Linked DNA regions of Caenorhabditis elegans. The protein of the gene in region 2 interacts with the protein of the main gene of each other region in a pairwise test. Each region holds a gene or a part of one and is shown on either strand. Other genes may lie near its edges.

Region 1 (4,759 bases), on a different chromosome or scaffold from region 2:
GCAATCGATCTGGTGACAATTGGCTTTTGAACCTGATGTGTTGGACTTGGGCTTCCATTTGACAGGGGTTTTACTGGTTCGAACTGGAATTTTTCAAAGTTTTATAATACAGTTTTGTAGAAAAATTAATGCTGATAATTTTTGCAGTTGGAATTTTTTTCCTAGCTATCACGGTTTTTGAGATAATCGCAATTTAAAACTGGGTGAAAGTGGCGCAGTGGCTAACATGGATGCCTGGGACTCAATCGGTGCAAAAAGTGCTCAGTTCAAGGTCGGGCTTTAACAAAACTTTTTTGCATACTGAAATCAAGCTGGGAACAGATTTTCACACAATTTTAACAATTGTTAATAAATTTTTGAAATAGTTGGAAATTCTACAATTTTCAAAAAATTAATATATAGAAAATTTTACGCTGATCCTTTTTGCAGTTGGAAGCTTTTCTCCAGCTATCACGGTTTTCGAGATAACCGCATTTTAAATTAGGGTAGAAGTGGCGCAGTGGCTAACACGGATGGCTGGGACTCAATACGTGCAAGAAGTGCCAAGTTCGAGGCCGGGCTACGGCAAACATTTTTTACATTTTTTTCAATGCCAAATTGTTACAGAATTTTTTTCAAACCATTATTAAGTGAGGAATTTTGAATTTTTTTTTGAAAAAAAAAATCTTACCGCTGAAGCAGGAGCTTGTGGCGGTGGTGAAGTGCTTGTGGATTGTGTCCTTGCAAGCACTTTCTGCCCGTTTTGAGTTTGTGCATATGTGAAATGGCTTTCAACATCGATTGATGGCCCGGCTTGAAGTCCACGCTGTAAACTTTTTACATAAGTTTTTCCTCAATTTTTCTGCAAAACCTACCCTCGGCAACTTTGGCGACGCTGAGAAAAACCGTCTCGAGTGGTGCTCTTGCTCGGGTGGAAGAGCAAATTCTCTGCCACGCCGGAGGCTTGCAAAGTCCCCGGGACCTGTTGAGGGGGCGGTGGAGAATCCACGTGGCAAGTCACCTAAAACAATAAAAAATGTTTAGCCACTGCCGGGGTCGAACCCATGACCCTTTGCTCAGATGACACCCAAAATCGCACTGCGCCATTTGGGCATTTTTTTTAAATTTGAGTTTTTTGAAATTTTTTAAAATATACATTTCAAAGATAATTGTTTTTTTTAATTCCAGAGATAAATTTCAATGTTCAGCCTCTTAATTTACCTTGAGACGGAGCCCTTCTAAAGGTAGGCGTAGGCGTCGGAGGTAGGTCATCATATCGATTATTAGCGAATCTTGACGGCGTCACGTGTCCATTATTTTGTTGATGAAGTCCCAAGTCAATTGGGGTCCCGACACGACTGTCTGGGAATGGCGACTCGGCGTTGCGAGCCCGGATCTCGGAGATTGTCTTGGCAAGCGCGGTGGAGTAGCCTGAAATTTTCTATAGTTAAAGTGATAAGATAGAAAATTTTATTCTGAGCATTTTTGCAGTTGGAAGCTTTTCTCTAGCTATCACGGTTTTCGAGATAATTGAAAAATGATATTGGGTGGAAGTGGCGCAGTGGCTAACACAGATGCCTGGGAATCAATCGGTGCAAAAAGTGCCAAGTTCAAGTCCGGGTAGTGGAGAATAATTTTTGTAGAGCCTAAGTATACTGGAAACAACTTTTTTGTTACGGAAAATGTAACTTTTGCCAGATCAAACATTTTCTCAAGTTTTGAAAATTTCAACAATTTGTTCGAAAGGAAATTTTACGCTGATCATTTTTGCAGTTGAAAATTTTTCGCTAGCTATCACGGTTTTCGAGATAATCGCAATTTTAAACTGGGTAGAAGTGGCGCAGTGGTTAACACAGATGGCTGGTGCCCAATCGCAGAAAAAAGTGGCAAGTTCGACCCCGGGCTCTGGCCAAATTTTTTTGCATTGTTATATCCATCTAAAAATTGTTTTTCAAAAACCTCACCATTTCCAGTGCCATTTGGAGCATTAAATCTCTGAGTTGGCGTGTTACTTCTGCTTCCACTAAACCCTAAATTGATCGGACGGCTTAGCGGAGGTGGTTTAGCTGAAAAATGTAAAAAAAAATTCAGTTTGGAGCTCAGAAAAAGTGCAAACCTTGCTCAAAATGTGCTCTTCTGGGAATTTCCGGTGGTCCTCTGCGATATGTGGTGTAGTCCGAGTTGTAGCCTCCTTGCATTCGGCTTCTGATGTCTTGGACCGTTTTTTTCTGAAAATTTGGAATTTGCAACTAACTTTTTGAAATTCTGATAATTTTTTATTGTCGCGTTGCGGTCGCGTCGCGGTTTTAAATTTTTTCAAGCTCACCTTCTCCACCTCCTTGTGTGGTGCCAGAACATCATCAAAATCGCTCATCAAATTATCCAAGGAGTCGCTGAAAATACTGTTATCCAGCAGTGGGGACATCAAATGTCGGTCTGCTCCATTGCCACGTAGTGTCATATTTGTCGGGGTGCCTGGAAAAGTACTTAATGGGCAATTTTTCAATGTTTCAGACTGATTTTCAAACTAAAAAGACTTAGAAAAAATTATTCGACCCTAGCCGGGATCGAACCCTGGTCATGTGCGTGGGGCCAAAATCCAAAATCCCACTGCGCCATTTGGCCGCTTTTCTCAAAATAGCTCAAAATTACCCGATTTTTCCAATTTTTAAACAGAAATATAGGTTTTAAACTATTTTAAATTTGTTTAAAATAGTTTTGAATAACAAATTTCACGTTTTCTACCACTTTTTAGAGTTTTCGCAAAAAACCTCACCTTGTCTCGACACAAATCCATTGCTAACATTCTGTGCGTAGGAAACGAATCCCAAATCGATATGATATCCATATGGACAACATTTGCACTTGTTCAACGAGTTATTATTCTGATTTTGGTCGCTTCCAGAAGATGGTGACGTCATTGAGTTCGGTGACACGTCACACGAGACCCCTGATGACGTGGAAGTGTCGTTTGGCGGGCTCCGCTTGACAATTGTGGCAGACGTTGAGGCGGAAGACATACTTCCGCCAATATCACGCATTTGTGATGGTTACCTGAAAAATTTTAAATTTTTTTGGGGGGGGGGGGGGGGGGAATGGAAGAAGTAGCAAAAATCGGAGTAGAAAATAAGAGAAAAATTTGAAAATTTGAAGAAAAGACATTAATTTGATGATGGGAGTATGTTTTTTTTAATAATAAAACTTAACAAAAAATTTTGACCCAGCGGGGGATCGAACCCCGGTCTTGTGGGTGCAGCCATAATCCCACTGCGCCATTGGGACACTTTTCAGAAAAATGCTCCAAAATCCAATTTTTTTGAAGATTCAAAGTTAAATTGCAATTTTCATAGTTTAAAACTCTCTAAAACTGTAAGTTAGGGAAAAAAGTGGACTATAAAACATTTTTTTCAAAAATAATTTTTAAAAAGTTTTAAAAAAACTCAGGAAAAGTTGCCCGAAAGTGATTTTCCAATTCAAAAATGGTTTCTACATTACACATCAACAAAACAAAAAAAATTGTCCTCCACCGGGAATCGAACCCAGGTATTGTGCGTGGAGTCAAAAACCAAAATCCCACTGCGCCACTCGGACATTTTTTTGGAAAATGCTCAAAAATAACCGAATTTCAAAATTTCAAAAGGCAAATTTGAATTTCTCAACGTTCTAAGTACGATTTTCACATTTTCAATTAAAAAATCTCGCCGATAAACCGGAAAATATTCAAATTAAGCGGGAAAACTACAATTTTCGGGTAAAACTTGGCGCCTAAAAATGTGAAAAAAAAATATTCCTTGGAGAGAAAAAGATACGTTCTTTCTTTACCCCCTCCTTACAATGAAATCATCTCGTCGTCAATTCAACTTGATTGATAGAAGGCGCGGCGCCAAAATGAGAAAAAGAGACATGAGACGAGAGGGAGAGAGACGCAGACACGTAGTGAAGGACGACTATTCTGATGATAAGGGTGTGGTTTGTCTCACTCATTATGCAAAAATTATTATTACATTTGTATATTTTAGGGTGGAAAAGAAAAATGGAAATTTACATTTCGGCGGAAAAATCCGAGAAATTTCGGTTTTCTTCTGTTAAAATTTGATACAAAACTAAAAACTGGACTAAAATCGTCTAAAACCCAAAATTTAACAACAAAAAAAATCAGTGATTTTGAGCATTTTTCTAAAAAGTGTCCGAGTGGCGCAGTGGGATTTTGGACTTCGGCTCCACGCGCAAGACCGGGGTTCGATTCCCACAAGGGTCTAATATTTTTGTTTTGTCGTTTTGTGAATGAAAATGTAAACAGAATTAATGAAACCCAGCAAAACTGCAGAAATTCTGTAAAAATATTGCCAATTTTCGGGTAAAAATACGCAACACAAAGAATTTCTCTACCCTTATCACAAGATGGGTGGTGATAAAGTGATGGGAGGTTAATTTAGTGATTATATCTGTGATATTGGGTCATTCATCATTCCATGGAAGAGATTGAACCGGAAATTCTACACAAGAAAGCGGAGAATGCGGATCAAAGTAGTGGAGTAAGGATGAATTGAGGAAAACTAAAAACTGCAGAAAAATACGAGGAAAATCGATTTTTTTTCGTAAGTCTGATGGTTTAAAAGACTTAAAAAGACCAATTAGAAAAAAATAAAAATATTTGACCCTAGCGGGGGGTCGAACCCCGGCCTTGTGAGTCGAGCCAAAATCCGAAATCCCACTGCGCCATTCGGACAGTTTTCAGAAAAATGCTCAAACAAGCTCAAAATTTCTAAAAATTCGAATT
Region 2 (5,575 bases):
AAGTACCTGGATAAGGTAGGCCATCGGGCTTTAAGGCTTTAAGGCTTCAAGGCTTTACATACCCTAATCTTCCAGGAACTCGCAGGCCGGATACAACAAATCCAGCTCCTGGGACGAAACATGCGCGGCGTGGAGCACGACAGGCTCTGGAACCAGCTGGAAGCCGAAATTCACCTCCACAGGCACAAGACAGTGATCCGGGCTTGCAGGTAGGCGGTCACGTTTCCCATGGCCGCTCCCCACTTGAACAATTTGCCATTCTTGCAGAGGACGGGGTAACACGAAGGGATTAACGGCGCCACTTCGTCACAACTTCAAGAGCCTCCGAAAACGAAATGGAGTGGGAAAGAGCAGGAAAGTGGTGCTCTCGAAACACCCGCACGAAGGGCTCGGCATTTCTATTACGGTAGGTGGGGGGACTTGGATGGTTTTGGGCCAGTAGATCATTGACTAGACTTGTTCCTTTGGGGATCCACGGGATCCTGTAAGATCTGAGAGTTGATCCAGTTCCCGTAAGACCAAATGTGCCATCTGATTATGAGGTACTTTTGCACGTGGTGTCAGGCTGTCCCATTGCGGTTTGATCTACAAAAAATGCGGGAATTTTTCTCCCAGTCAGTTGAAAAGTCTGCGTCTCTTTTCCCGCATTTTTTGTAGATCAATGTAGATCAATCTAAAATGAGACACTCTGACAACCCCTGCTTTTGTAGTTCTGCTGCATAGCTCAAAACTACTCCAGATAGTTTGCGGAGCTCCGGATGGATCCTAGTTCTTCAAGATCTTAAAAAATCCTACTGGATCCTAAAATCCATTTCCAGGGAGGATCCGAACACGCTCTACCCATAGTGATATCTGAAATCCAGCCGGGACAGCCTGCTGACCGATGTGGACAGGTCTTTGTGGGCGACGCGATTCTCTCAGTAAACGGCTACGATCTTCGGACTGTCAAGCATCAGGAGGCAGTGGATATTTTGAGTGGGCAGGTAAGATGCTGCCAGGGGCCCTCCACCTACATCCCCTCCAAATTCCAGGTACAGCAAGGCGACCTAGACCTGGAGCTCGTCTTTGTGTGCCCCGATGAGGATAGTGATGATGATGGGACGGTGACGATCGAGCACAGCGATGGATCTATGTGAGTTATTGGGAATTTTTCGGCGGGAAATTTGAATTTCCAGTTAGTTTTTAGCGGGAAATTTAAATATTCAATCGATTTTCAGCTGGAAATTTTGATTTTCTGTTAATTTTTGGCGGGATTTTCATATTGCCAGTTAATTTTAGGCGGGATTTTTAAATTTCCAATTGATTTTGAGCTAGAAATTCAAGTTATAAGTCAGTTTTAGGGAGGAAATTCAAATTCTCAGTTAACATTTAACTGGAAATTTAATTTTTTAGTTAATTTTTCAACTGGAAAATCAAAATTTTGGTCATTTTTCAATAGAAAATTCAAATTTTTTGTCGTTTTACTATAGGAAATTCAAATTTTTAGTCAATTTGCGACAAAAAATTCTAAATTTTCTGTCTATTTTCGGCAAGAAATTCAATTTTTCAGCCTATTTTTTGGGGGAAATTCAACTTTTTAATGAATTTTTCGGCGGGGAATTCCAATTTTTTGTCGTTTTTCTATAGGAAATTCAACCTTTTAGTTAATTTTTCGACGGGAAATTCAAATTTTCGGCCAAATTTCAACAGAAAATTCGAATTCCCAGTCAAATTTTTAAATTTTTGTTTTAGCTACAACCTCTACAGTATGGAAGAGCCCACGTCAAGCCGATCGTCCAACAATTCTGATGAATCACGCAGCACGTGACCTCCAAAATGTGGAATTTTTTGACGGGTTTTATTTAATTTTTTTTTCAAAAAAAAAACTTTTTTTTGTATATTTTCCCGTGACTTTCCTCCTCCCCCTAATTGCCACGTCATTTCCTCCAACTCATTGGATTTTTTTTTGGCTTTTTCCAACTTTTTGCATAAAAATCTTTTATTGTTTGAGTTTATCGATTTTTCTTCCGCAAAAAAATCAATAAATGACGTGTCAACAAATCAATCGTCTTACTGCTGTCTTCAATACGGCAATGTCCAAGGCGCTGGCTTCCGATGAGAAGGACGACTGGATTACCCATTTGAAGGCAATTTCGAATGTTTTTACGCAGGTAATATGATCTTCCGGTCGGGCGGGAATTTGAAAATTCTGGGAGAAATATTGATTTTTTGGAAAAATGTCAGTTTTCCGGCAAATGTCATTCAAAAAATTATTGATTTTTCGTCGCACTCCAACGACACTCCGATATTCCGCTGACTAAAAGTAGGCGTGGTCAGGCGGGAATTTAAAAATTTCGCTTTGAAAATCAGTAAGAAATCATCGATTTTTGTGAAAATTGTTAGCTATCCGGCTCGAAATATCGAAAAACGGTTTGAATTTTGTTTAGTATAAAGTTTCTTTAAAATCCCGGTCGGGCGGTAGTTTAAAAATTTTAGAAAAAATCGATAATGTATCGACTTTTCGGTATCCCGGTACAAAACTGTGGCGGGAATTTGAAAAGTTTCCAATAGTTACTTCAAAACTCCTTTTTCTCGGTTATTGAAAACTTGGCAATGACGAGAAAAATCGATAATTTATTAATTTATCACAAACTATTTTTCCAGGTTTGCACTTTGTCCGCCAGTGAAGAATCCGCTAAGAAATTGGCAATCAAGGAGCGTGAGGAGTGTCTCCAGGAGCTCGTGGAGCTTCGTGCCATAGCTGAAGCCCATGATGACGTCATCCAGCAGTTCCACTTGTTGCTGGCCGCGAATCATCAGGGAGACGCGACTTCCAGGCAGATTTTCAATGATATGGTGAGGGAATGTTGCCTGCCTATACCTACCTAGGTGCCTACAAGTACTAGGCAGGCAGGCACTTTCGTGCCTACCTGCCTACTTCAACGCTTAATATTTCAGAAACAAGAAGTCGGTGACAATATGGAAAGGATCCAGGAGCACCGTCTTGTGGAGGCTAAGCTCAACGTGGAGAAGCGGCGTAACGAGCGGATGGCGAAGCATATCAATGAGGTGTCCAAGAAGAGTGTCATGCATCTCATGGCAACCAGGTTCTACGCAAGGGTACGGTTCTACCTAGTCGATGCACCATGTGGGGTAGAGGTTCAGGTAGCTCTGGTTACCCAAAAATTGGTGATTTCCACTTTGGCCACATTTTTTGCTAGCCTAAACCTCAGCCAAAGCCTACACCCAAACCTAAGCCTTAATCCAAGCTTAAGCCTGAGCTTAATCCTAGGCATAAGCGTAAGCCTAAGCCTAAGCCTTGGTCTAAGCGTAAGCCTAGATCACAGCCTAAGCTTTAGCATAAGCCTAAACCTAAGCCTAAGCCTAATACTAAGCCTACGCCTAAGCCTAAGCCTAAGCCAAAACCCAAGCCAAAGCTTCAGCCTAAACATTTTGTCGATGCACCATGACATTTCCCCCACTTTTTTTCTAGATTTTTGGCCCCTACGCATCATCATTTTTTACATGATCATGTCCCCTCCCCACACTTTCCCATGAGACTCATTACAGGAGCTGGCAGCAATGCGACAGATGATGGATTTGGTGCGCAACGCGGCAACGATCGAGTCGGCCGTCAAATCGAAACTGTGGGACGAGATCGAGAAGGAGAACCGCTTGTTGCGTCTCAACACGCTTTGGCTCATCAATCGGTAGGTGATGGATTTCTGTGGGAACTTGTTGGAGCATCAAAAAATTTTCCAGGATCAACTCGTCGGACCTTGGTGATGCTGCATTTGAGAACGGAGACGATTGGCAGAGCTCTCCGCGGCTCGTGATTCTCATGAGAGAGCATATCAATCAGGGGCTTGGGCTCGAGATTACGGTTGGTGCCGAAAAGCCAAAAAATTTGAAGAAATGGAATTATTCAGGGAGGTTGTGATCAGTTCCGTCCGGTCGTGGTCACTGGGAAGTTGAAGCGGTCGATGGCGGACGATGATCAGGTACAGTACTCCTACAGTACCCCTTTTCCTACAGTACCCTTTCCCTTCCTATAGTACCCCTCCCTACAGTACCCCCTTACTGCAGTTATTTCTCTCTACAGTACCCGTTTCTACAGTACACCCTTACTACAGTACCCCCTGCCTGCAGTACCCCACTTCTACAGTACCCCTCCCTACAGTACCCCTTCCCCAGTACTCCTTTACTACAGTACCCCTGCCTACAGTACCCTTCCTACGGTAACCTTCCAGCAGTACCCCTACCTACAGTACTGCCTCCCTACTGTACCAGTCCTCTATAGTATTCTTTTAGCAGTTCATCCTTATTGCAGTACCCCTTCCTACAGTACCCCTTCCCTAATGTGCCCTTCCCTGCAGTACTCCTTTACTACGGTATTTTCTCCCTACAGTACCCCATTTCTACAGTGCCCCCTCCCTACAGTACCCCCTTCCTACAGTACCGCTCTCTACAGTATCTCTCCCTGTAGTATCCCCTGCCTACAGTACCACTCCCTACAGTATCCTCTCTCAACAGTACCCTATTCCTACATCACCCTCCCTACAGTATCCCTCTCCCTACAGTACTCTCTCCCTACAGTACCCCTACTTCATATTTCCAGCTCCGTGTGAACGACCGTATCTTGGCGATCGATGGGACCTTCGTGACCAACACCACCACCCACGCCGAGGTTATGGAAATGCTCGAGAATGAGGTGAGTTTCGCATTAGAGCGCACTTGTAGCCTTATATAAATTTGAATTTCCAGAGCGCCAAGGATTTCATCTCGCTGATTGTATCGCAATTCGACCCGACCAAGTACCACGAGGCCCATCCAAACGGGAAATGTCACAAATTTGTTAGCACACCAATTTCGGGAAAAGCCGATTCGGGGGAGGATGTCTGAATTGTCTTTTTTTTTTTGGTTGCAAAATTTATTTTTCTCTAATTCTCTCCCTCTCGTACAGTTTATAGACTTGTTTGTGTGTCTCTTTTCGATTTTTTTTTTATTTCTTTTTGTGTTTTGCCGCCAATTTTTTTCGTTCTTCTCATGATTACCCCCCTCTGAACCTTTTTAAAAAATAAAAATCAGCGGCTGTCTACGTCTCAGGGATATCAAATGAGACGGAATTAAAGTGGCTCATTTGAGTTTTATAGGTTTTCGGGGAGAATTGATTCCTGGGAGCTTTTCCTCCACTGCTTTTCATTGCTTTTTTGTTGTGGGAACACTCTGCAACAAATTTGGTGGTGAAAACCTGAAAATTTAGCAATTTTCTCATTGGGGCGCATTTGCAACATACCAATTTGAATTTTCAATAGGAAAACTTGTTTCTCTTGTTTTCACATTAACTTCTATCGATTCCTTTTAAATTTTCGCTGAACCGTGATTTTCCAGCAATTTCGCGGGAATTTGAATTTTTAGTTCGAAATTGCACTTTTTTGGTTTTAGCAAAACTGGTAAATAAATATAACAGTTTAAATTGTTGGTTTTGTTGGAAAATCACAAGAAAAATCGATTTTCCAGTTATTTTCTCATTGGGGCGCGTTTGCATTATGCGGTCCGCGAGAATTTAAATTTTTTAAAAAGAAAACTTGTTTTT
Region 3 (5,481 bases), on a different chromosome or scaffold from region 2:
AAAAATTATTTAAAATTTTATTTGCACTCTGTTATAAATTTTGAAAATACTCAAATTGTGAAAAATTGTTATGATGCAAATTTTCCAAATAAAAAAAACTGAGAATGAATTAAATTTCTTTAATTTTGAAAAAAAAAATGTTTTTTCTCCAAAATTTCAATTAACCATCAAAAAAAGTTCAAAAAAATTTATTCAACATGATTAAAGTATAAAATCGTAAAAATTGGAAAGAAAAATGTGGCTATTACGCAAGTGGTTCAAGAGACAAAAAAAAAGTACAAAATATCGATAAAACAACACAGGAAAGCTCGTAAAATGTGTAAATCGAGTGTAAAATACAAAAAAAAAGAAATTTATAAACCAAAAAAAATTGAAAAAAAATCCGTAGTGTTCTGTGGTTATCCATTCCGAGTCATGGAAGGATATGCTATACAGATAATTAATATTTTGAGGCGGGGGCGGGGGGGGGGGGGGGGTATTCTACATTATAAAAAAAAATTAGAACAAAATATAGTTTTTTTTTCAGAAAAAAAATCCAAAAAAAAAATTTTTTTAATTTTTAAATTTTTTAAAATGTTCTGATTGTAAGGGGATTTTCAACTGAATTTTTTAAGCTTTTCATCACATTTTTGAAGAAAAAAATCAAAAATAATTTTATTACGTTTACACTGTGCATATCTAGTCGTACTCGAGATCAGAATTTTCCAACTCATTTGGGTGGCGCCTGAAAAAAAATCAGTTATTAGTTTTTTTTTTTTTTAATTAAATAGATTAAAATTGGCTTATTGAAAAAATGTGTTTTTTTTGTAATTTTTAAATATTTTCAAACATTTAAACTTGAATTTAAAGTTTTTAAATACAATTCTCACCTCTGTGGAGTATCTATTCGGCTAATAGTGACGTTGATTCCAAGGTTTCCGTTTTCTGAAAAAAAAAGTTGATTTTTGTTGAGGGTAACTTTTAAAGTTTATATTCCGGAACTGACAAAAATTTTGCTACTAAAGGTCGATGCACCATATCTCGCCCAACTTTAAAAACTTTTCAAAAAAACCTCTGCGGATTTCGGTTTTTATTTTTATTTTTTAATAGACACTTTGTTAATATCTTCAAAAATTGACCGAGTTTATCAATCTTAGAAATTTTTGGTCGATGCACCATGTTCAAAGGAAACTTAATTTTTTTGGATTTCTGGTTCTATCGAAAAAGTTCCAACTCACAAAATATTTGTTCTCGTGTTTTATATAGTTTAGCGGTTACATTTTTGTTAGCATTCACACACTTAACCGGGGTATCGGCTGTTAAAACTATTTCGGTCGATGCACCATGATGCACTCAACTATTCCAGCTGTATCCCTTGTCTAACAAAGTTACCAAAAAAATTGTCAACTCACAAAAAAAGCTGTTTTTGCTCAGTTTTAACAAAAATTGAAAGCTCAGTTTTAACAAAAATTGGTAATTTCCGATTAAGATAAAAGCAAAAGTCAATGCTCACCTGCAAAAAGCTGTGCAGCATTTGAATCGAACGCTAGGCAATCCGACTGTTGAATGGCCACTACCACCCCCTCGTGGATGCTTCTCGGTGTGGCTTCCCATGACATTCTCCGGCGGCTCGCCGATAGCTCAAGCCGGTACACAAAGTTATCAGCTTCCTTCTTCGAGCCAATCAGCTGAACGACTGCGTAGAACATCTGAGTTGGCTGAGCTGGATCGTACTTTTCCTGCTTCTCGAGCACCAACATAAAATTATAGTCAAAGCAGCTCTGCATCATAACCCAGTCAACTGCTCCAGGAAGATTGATGTCAGTGGCCAGGAAGACGATATCCTCGCCTTGAAGCGTCGTGATGCTCTTGTGGATCTTCTTCAAATGCTCCATCACATCCGACAAGCCTCCCTGCCACTTGCAGCTAGCTCCAGGGCACGGGCAGCAGTAGGGTCGGAATTCGCAGAGCTCCTCGTGCTCGGTCTTATCAGCGTGATGGAAGTTCAGGGGGCAGCCGGACGTAGAGAATTTGCATGGAAAGCGGACGGTGTTGGCGATCTTCTCGAGGCCCAGGTTGCGGACAGAAGCTGTAAGATTGAAGGTTTAGTCTTGAAATTTGAGATATACTCTGAAACTTTGAAGATCCGTAGATCCTTGATTCGTTAGCTACATTAGAGAAACAACACAGCTAAAATGCTTAGGCGCTCGACTGAGACAGATCGATCAACCAGAAAGGATCTTAGTCTTCTATCATATCAGCTCTGCTCAAGCTGTGGTAATTTTTTCAGCTTTGACTAAACTCTTCTAGTCACGCAATTTTCAAATTTCAACTTCAAAACTCACGAGTTGGACCCCGACAAGTCGGGCAGCACTGAAGCTTTGGTCTGCAGTTCGAGCAGACAAGATGTCCGGATGAGCACTGCATGTATGGTGGCAGCATGTACTCCAGGCATACCGGGCACTCAAACACCGACAAGATCTCTGCACTGCTGTCGTCGGTGGCTCCACCGCCGCCGATTGGAATATGTGGTGCGACGCTTTGGATTCCTTGCGCGGTCGTCGTTGTGTTGTGCGGTACTGGAAAATTTTACATTTTAGCGTTACAGTTCTGAAAATCAAGAAAAACTCACTACTTCCCGGGGGATTACTCTGAACTCTGGCCATCGTTTTGCCAAGCACTGCGGTTCCAGAGATTGTTGACACTGCAGACGGTGGCGATGCCGACATCCGAGGTGTCAATCCGATTTGACATTGCTGTTGTGTGATGCCTGGCGGGACCGGTGGAGGGTTGCCTGGAAAGTAAAATTTAATGGTGCTAGTTCTGGGCTCCAAGATATAGTTTCACACTTACTTCGCTCATTGAGCCAATTTTCAATACACTCAATAATAAGCGCATTCACTACGCAGCAGCAAGAACGCATGTGGGGGAAAATGCGATCATCATGAAGCGAGCGAGCTCTCCGAGAGAGTTTTCAGCAGGTATATAAAAACTAGGGAGGGGCTCCGAAACACCGCTTTACGATGCATATGTCGATTATAACACAGAGATAGAATAGCGAGTTTTCTCTCGGGGGTGGGAGTAAAGAGGAAATGTTGAGTGACTTTAATTGGTGTCGTTTTGGATGTGGGGGGGGGGACTAATGACTGGTGAGCACGCATGGTTGGAGAAAGCAGGGGATTTGGGCTCCGGCTTAAAGGTTTGGCTGGCTGAAGGTAGTGGTGTGTCGGAAAAATCACGTGGTGTCAGAAAAAACCCCTGCCATCACGGTTTGATCTACAAAAAACGCGGACTTTTTTTGCGTAAAACTTTCTTAAGCCAAATAAAATGAGAACTATGCGTCTCAACTCGTGCATTTTTTGTAGATCTACGTAGATCAAACCGAAATAGGACATTCTGGCACCAAGTGAAATGCTGAAACAGTGATCTTTTAATCATGTCTCAATTAATAATACTCAATAGAAATTCAAAAGCCGACTCTCTTGATTCCGTTGGACAATTAAGTCCTTTCTTTAATTTTGGGCCGTTTCTAAGTTTCGGGGATGAGCAGGCTTTCAAACAAGACTCAAAGTTTTCAAAAAAGTCTCACCATTTGAGTGATTAACCATATCTTCGACTAAAGAATTGCTAGTCTGATGTCTGGATAGATGATTCGCTTGCGGAGCCGAATCGCTACTATTATTATCGTCCTCCTCAAAGATGAGCTGTGTACGACGAAGAGACTCGATCACGTCCTGATAGTCTCCTCCTCCTCCACCACCGTTCCGATTACTCATCAGCGAAGGCAGTCGAGATGACGAGGACGACGATGTTGGAGGTGGTGGGTGGTTCGGTGTCTGCGGATGCCGCCGTCTTCCCGTCGTCTCTGTAATTGGTGAGTTGGTGATAACGAATTGTGAGTGTTTTGTTGTTGTCACGTGAGAAATAGTCGCTGGAGGTCAAATTGTGAGGAATTACGAAGAGAGTAAAGTTTTTAGAATAGGTTTGTTGAATCAGGAGTGGCACGGGGTCTCACATGGTCCCATTACGATTTGATCTACAAAAAATGCGGGAATTTTTCGCCCAAAAAATGTGACGTCAGCACATTGTTAACCATTTGAAATCAGTTGGGAACTCTTCGTCTCAACTCCCGCATAGTTTGTAGATCTACGTAGATCAAACCGCAATGAGCCACTTTGACACCACGTGGCAATTTTTTTCCGGCAAATTGCCGATTTGCCGTTTGCCGGAAATTTTTAGAGGGATTTTTTAATAAGACGGAAGCACTTGAAACAGTGTCATTTTGAAAGTTTTTTTTTCCCGTTTTCTTTAGATACATTCATTGAACTTGCTTACTTTTCAAAATAGATGTAGGAACATTCATAGGATGCGTACAATTTTGCCAATTTAAATTAAATTTCTAAAATTTCCAGAAAAAAATGTGGAAAACCACAATTTGCAGAAAAATGTTTGTGAAAATTTTTTGCCGGTTTGCAGTTTTGTCGGAAATGTTCATTTTCGGTAAATTACCGGGAAAGTTGTGCAAAAAAAACAACTGAGGCTCAAATTTTTTAATTAAAGATTTACTAGGAAATTTTGAAAATTTTATATTAAAATTTGAAAATAATCGCCTAAAATCAATGCAATCAAGAACAAAAGATGAGAGATGGGCTAGGAAAATCAATAAGATAAGTAAGGGATAAGGTCCGATTTTCATGAACTTGAATACCTAGTATAGATACTAGATTCAGTAAAACGTGATTGCAAACTATTTGAATAAGTGACTTTCTAAAAATGGAAATTTGAAACATTCAAAAAAAAATGTAATACATTCACAAAAATCACTGAAAAGTTAAATTATGGTTATCTTAAACGAAATAGTGATGAAATCCATGAAGAAAGTGGTAATTTTTTCGGGAAGTATCAATTTTAAGGTTCTATTGTCCACACAGACACTTTATAAATCAAGTCGCAAGCAGAGAACAACAACAAAATCTGGCAAAAGAAAACAACTTTACTATTCGCTTTTTTTTAGCTTTCTCTAAATAATATTTTCAAAACCTAACAAAAGGATTAAAACCCTCAAATTCGACGATTACTTTGCATAAATACACAATAGAAATACGAATAAGAGAGTGAATAAAACGAAGAAAAGAGGCGAAAGGAAGAAAAATATGAAATAAAACGCGTTCTGTGTGCGTACTCTCTCTCTCTCTTTCTCTCTTTCACATCTTTTCACCAACGAATGACTGACCGGGATAGTGTGGGTGGTGGAAGAGACGACAGAGAGACCGACGACGAGATGTGTGGGCTTGTAAGAGAGTCTCTGTGTTTCTCTACCAGCTGACATGCGAATGAGAATGAATCAAATCGATTTTTGAAGAGAGAGAGAGAGAGAGAGAGAGAGACGGTTGGAGGGAAGGGATGGTGAGAGCGATTTTATATGAAAGGCGTATCAGGCACCAATAACCTTTTTAAAGTAAAATTTCAAAAATTGATGGTCATGCACTGTTGGTCATATGG
Region 4 (4,799 bases), on a different chromosome or scaffold from region 2:
TCATCTGAATTGGCTCCAATCGGGGTCGATTTATAGAGCGGAGAGGAGGTCGCACCATTTCATCAACTTCTTCCGTCGTCCAACCGTTCACAGAATTTAGGTCATCGCGAGCCGAAAGTGCGGGTGTACGTCTTTGCGGCCTCGACGGGTGACTTTACGGAGATATGCATTCGCTCCTTGGACATGAAGAAGGAGAAAGTCATGGATTGGAATAATATGCGCTACGGAGGAGTGAGAAAGATCACGGAGACGACTAATGCGCACTGTGCGCGAATGTTCCCATAATACCATAAACTCAGAGAGAAAAGACGACACGGATACTCTAACAGGATCTTCGGAACATTTAGTAATACGTTACTTTGAGTTAAAAAGAAAACGATAGCACATTTTTTAACTTTTCAAAAAAAACTCAAAACAACGAAAAAAATTCTACTCGAGTACTTTAACTGCTTAATTAGTCGATAATTTTTTGAAAACCATTCAAAAATTCTTCTAGATTTTGAGCAATACTTCCTACCATAAAATCTCAGAATGACGTATCCCAGGTCAAAACTTTAGAAGACCCTTTCACTCTCACTTCACATAATGCACAATTTGACCTTATTTCGGACACTCACTGGGCGAAATCGCGTGAGAATGAATTGGAGTCAAGAGCGTCTTGTAGAAGTGAACAAAGAATTAAGAAATAAGAAGGAGTTTCATTTTATAAGTACGGATAGTCAATGAGTGGAAGCAATGAGGACTCGTAAAGACGATTATTGTAATAAGGGGATAAAGAGTCTATACTATAGAAAAAAGAGAAGTCTGCAGACTTAAGGTTAAGTGTAGTGACGGAAAAGTGAAAAGTCGTATCAAAAAAGATGCACAATGATACCGTCAGACTGACGATGTGCTCGATTTTTATGGCTTCGGCTCCACCGGCAATATTTGCATACACCACACACACACACACACACACACACACACACACACACACACACACATTCTAAGCATTGTGCTGCGGTTTTATAATATCGGACACCTTACCACCCGCTTTCAAACCGGGATGCTTAGAAGGTGATAGAAGAAATGGTGTTAACAGCGCTCACACAGTTTTGTTGTTGGTTGCGCTCGCCGGGGCACACGACAACGGCGACAACGACGCGACGAGTACAGTTTTGTCAGTTGTGTGCATTGTGCATACAGGCGCTCAATACCCGGTATGGGAGAAAGAGAAAGGGATGGGAGAAGACGATGATGGAGAACAGGAGGTATGTACACTTCGGACGATGCTGAAAGTGAGGCAGGCGCCAACGCGTTCTATTATGAGCTCGTACAGGCAAAAATGTATTCGTAGAATAGAAGAAAAAGAAAGACATTGTGATGAAATATAGATTATTCAATTACAAGATTAGTTCGGACAGAAATACCAGAACTAAATGGAATTTTAATGTTTCAGGAAAATTATTGATTAATTTATATTTTTAGTTATTGTCGCTAATGATTTTAGAATTTAGATTTAAAAAATCTCGATAAATGAGCAAACCTGTCAAATGCGAAAATTAACCAATTTCCAGTATCAAATATAGAAATATTTCGAAAAAGGGTAGAGGATGATACTGAGAGAAAGAAAACGGACGGTTGCTCCGTGAACAGAAACATTCAAATCCTCCGTTCAACATATACTATCTCTCGTCGATGAAAGTAGCATCACCGTGTTGCTCGCATAAATGGAAAAGGGAACAGAGCGAACAAAAAATACGGACGCCGATGCAGCAGTTGGCTGCAGCTCTTGCTTCCTTTCTGCACATTTATGAGAGCGCCACGACGATTGATTTCATCGATCTCTTATGTACAGGAGAAGCACCGAAAAAAGGAGCTATATATGTCGAATTCGAAATGAGCATCGTGCGAAAGAAAGAGCTTGGAATTGAGAGATCATTGATAGAGTAGAGGTTTTAGGAGAAATATAAAAAAAATGTTTGCAGTGATGTTCAAGCTAGTCTATACTTCAAAAATCTGATTTCTAAGAGAATAGAAGTTATAGGTTATGTTGAATCCCTACATTTTAGGATCAAGGGTGTCGCTTTTTCGGTTTTTTTTGTTGGAAATTCAACAAATTTTGGTTTTTTGATTTTTCGAAATTTCTCAAAAATTGCTCGAAATTTCAGCGCCTGGGCTTTTTTTAGAAGGAAATTATATTTTCTTTTGTGTTTTATATTCAACAAAATTAAATTTTGATTTTTTTTTCGGAAAACCAAAAAAGTTCGTTTTTCGATTATCTCTCAAAAAAATTGGCATTTTTAGACAAAAAAACTAAAAAATTTATTTTTCGAAATTTATCAAAATTTAACAAAAATTGCTCAAAAAAAAGTTAGATTTTCGATTATTTCTCAAACAGAAAAATTGACATTTTTTAAAAGAAATCCTTGGTTAGCATCAGACCGCACTTTTTTTCGGATTTTGGAAGAGCGAAAAAACGGAAAAAATTTGTTTTCGATTTTCAGAAAAAAAGTTTTTATTGATTTTCAATTACACTTAAAAAATTGTAAAGTCCAAAAAAAATAATAAAATCTCGGTTACTTGTTTGAAAAAAAACTTTAATCAACTTAAATTTTGAATTCCGTATAAGAAAAGTGTTTTCAAATTTTTTTTCGATTTTTTCTTTAAAAAAAAAACGGAATTTTTCGTTTTTTTTTCAAAAGTGAATTTTTTTGGATTTTCTCAACAAAAAAAACCGACAATTTTTTCAGCGGCACCCTTGTTTAGGAAGTCGATTCGAATAATTAGGGGATACCAATGGTTAATATGGACCGAAAAAGGAATCAGAGGTACAATTGGAAGTTCTATGCAAAGTTTCAAACCAGAGAAAATGAGTAAATCAATATTTTAGATAATTTTTATAAATAAAAAAACTCACGCAATAACTGAGAAGATCGATCGTTGCTGCATCATCGTTCAGTTCGATGACCACAAATTTCGGCATCCCGGCCGGGTTCGAATCGTACGAAGACGACACCTATGTATATTATTTATATTATTAGGAATTACAAGAGCACGATAAAGATATTCAGAAATAGAAATAACTATTTAAATAAGAAAAAAGAAATTACCACAAATAATAAAAAGACCGACGATTTTATTGAAAATCGAGTAAGAACAAAATTTGCGTTGTAAAACTTAAAATTAAAAGAAAATATTATAAATATCAACGAAAAAAATTTAAAGAAACTATTAAATTTTTGCTTCTTTTCCATATTGATGATTCGGGAAACACTTTGCCATTGTATCCAGCCATTCTTTTCGTACTTCTGGTGTTCTGAAAAAAATTGACTTTGTAAGATTTTTTTATTTTGGAATGAAACGAATTAAATTCAGTTTTCAAATGGACATCGTCTGAATTGGATTTTATTCAAACATTTTTAATTTTTTTTAATGGAGCGATCTTGCGACAGAATTGAATTTAAAAAAAAAATTAAATATGCTCTTTTGAAACATTTTTAGTCTAAAATATGATCTAGAAAAAAAAATTTCTAAAATTTACATTTTATTCAAAATTTCAAATCTATTTTTGCGGGTTTATGCCAAAAATAAATTTTTGGCTTATCCTCACATTTGGATAAAATTACCATTTTAAATAGAATGGAAAAAAAAAATCTTGCGGTGCAGCTGCAACATTAGTAGCAATTTTCGTAATTTATAAAACAAATTGCGTACATTTTAAAATAATTATACAATTAAAACAGAAACCGGCTTTCATGCTTTTCGAGTGAGATTAGATAAAAAAAAATAATCTCAGTGAATTAGTGATTCAACTAAAAAAGAGCTGTCGCACAATTTTTAAAATCTTTAAAAAATAATTTTTTTAAAATTTTTTAAATTCAAAATAAAAACTCACATCATATTCACAGGTTCGTGTTCCGAATTGTGTTGTGATTGTCCGTGCTGCTTTACACGAACTTTTCGTACAGCTTGATATGGACATTGGGAACATTTGAATGGTTTATGAGTGGAGTGTTTCATCATTACGTGTTCAAAGAAATTCCATTTAGAACCACCAGAATTCAGGCGAATTCCAATTCCACAAATCTCACAAATCGCTGTGACTACATCTCCACAAACACTTCCAGAACTTCCACATGATTTCATTCGTTTTGGAGATGGGGAAACTTTTCCAAAAAGTGCCAAACCAGTCCGTATAGCTTCAGTTGCTAGTTGTTCTTCCAATTCAGCAGTTTGTTCATCAACTTCTTCACTAAATTCATCATCTTCGTCATTGCAAGGTTCCAGTTTAACTTCTACATCAACACGTTCCACTCTGAAATTGAAAAAAAATTATGAAATGAAAATTCTAATTTATTAATTCTACCTGCTCTTGATTGAATTCGTCATGTCCAATTGTGATACAGGGGAAACCGGCAATTCTTTGTTAGTTGGTGGAATTGGTGTTGACCAAAATGGTGTTCCATCTCGAGAAATCTCATCTGTTTCAGGTTCATGTTCATAGTTGGAATATTCTACCGTATCGAGTCTAGGCGCTCGAGGTATACCTGAAAAAACGGTTAAAATGTTTTATTTAATTTAAATAACAGCTGCAATTAAATTAATGTGATAATTTTCTGATGAGAAATAGGAAAATTGTTAGTTTCATCTCTCAATTTCCGTTTTTCGGTCATTTTTTAAATTTTTTAAACGAAATTTCTTCTTTTTTTAGTGAATCTAATTTTCTCGTTTTTGTTTCGTTTTTTAATCGATTTTCCGAAATTCGAAAAAAATCCGAAAAAGAATATATTGATTTATCGATTTTTCAATTTTCGTTG

What was found.
Region 1: the proteins of ZK849.1 (region 2) and vab-19 interact in a two-hybrid assay, tested with the Caenorhabditis elegans proteins (one large-scale study listed by BioGRID).
Region 3: the proteins of ZK849.1 (region 2) and siah-1 interact in a two-hybrid assay, tested with the Caenorhabditis elegans proteins (one large-scale study listed by BioGRID).
Region 4: the proteins of ZK849.1 (region 2) and lir-1 interact in a two-hybrid assay, tested with the Caenorhabditis elegans proteins (one large-scale study listed by BioGRID).

Annotation. Positions count from the first base shown.
Region 1 is NC_003280.10:2,441,553-2,446,311, reverse strand, and holds the start of vab-19 (ANK_REP_REGION domain-containing protein), read right to left. Parts: upstream 3,034-4,759; 5' UTR 3,021-3,033; coding exon 2,756-3,020; intron 2,455-2,755; coding exon 2,306-2,454; intron 2,208-2,305; coding exon 2,096-2,207; intron 2,046-2,095; coding exon 1,944-2,045; intron 1,411-1,943; coding exon 1,201-1,410; intron 1,001-1,200; coding exon 855-1,000; intron 806-854; coding exon 671-805; intron 84-670; coding exon 1-83.
Region 2 is NC_003279.8:14,182,093-14,187,667, reverse strand, and holds ZK849.1 (PDZ domain-containing protein), read left to right. Parts: upstream 1-1,960; 5' UTR 1,961-2,072; coding exon 2,073-2,150; intron 2,151-2,643; coding exon 2,644-2,835; intron 2,836-2,937; coding exon 2,938-3,099; intron 3,100-3,549; coding exon 3,550-3,689; intron 3,690-3,741; coding exon 3,742-3,862; intron 3,863-3,908; coding exon 3,909-3,980; intron 3,981-4,597; coding exon 4,598-4,690; intron 4,691-4,743; coding exon 4,744-4,881; 3' UTR 4,882-5,073; downstream 5,074-5,575. Other genes in the region: gopc-1 (Golgi-associated PDZ and coiled-coil motif-containing protein), read left to right, coding at 1-15, 76-209, 268-406, 819-983, 1,032-1,132, 1,732-1,807.
Region 3 is NC_003282.8:3,742,411-3,747,891, reverse strand, and holds siah-1 (E3 ubiquitin-protein ligase siah-1), read right to left. Parts: upstream 3,845-5,481; 5' UTR 3,756-3,844; coding exon 3,569-3,755; intron 2,774-3,568; coding exon 2,612-2,773; intron 2,559-2,611; coding exon 2,325-2,558; intron 2,069-2,324; coding exon 1,493-2,068; intron 925-1,492; coding exon 870-924; intron 725-869; coding exon 679-724; 3' UTR 541-678; downstream 1-540.
Region 4 is NC_003280.10:7,670,209-7,675,007, reverse strand, and holds the start of lir-1 (LIn-26 Related), read right to left. Parts: upstream 3,004-4,799; 5' UTR 2,966-3,003; coding exon 2,900-2,965; intron 145-2,899; exon of another isoform or gene 9-144; intron 1-8. Other genes in the region: lir-2 (C2H2-type domain-containing protein), read right to left, coding at 3,214-3,298, 3,878-4,297, 4,349-4,529.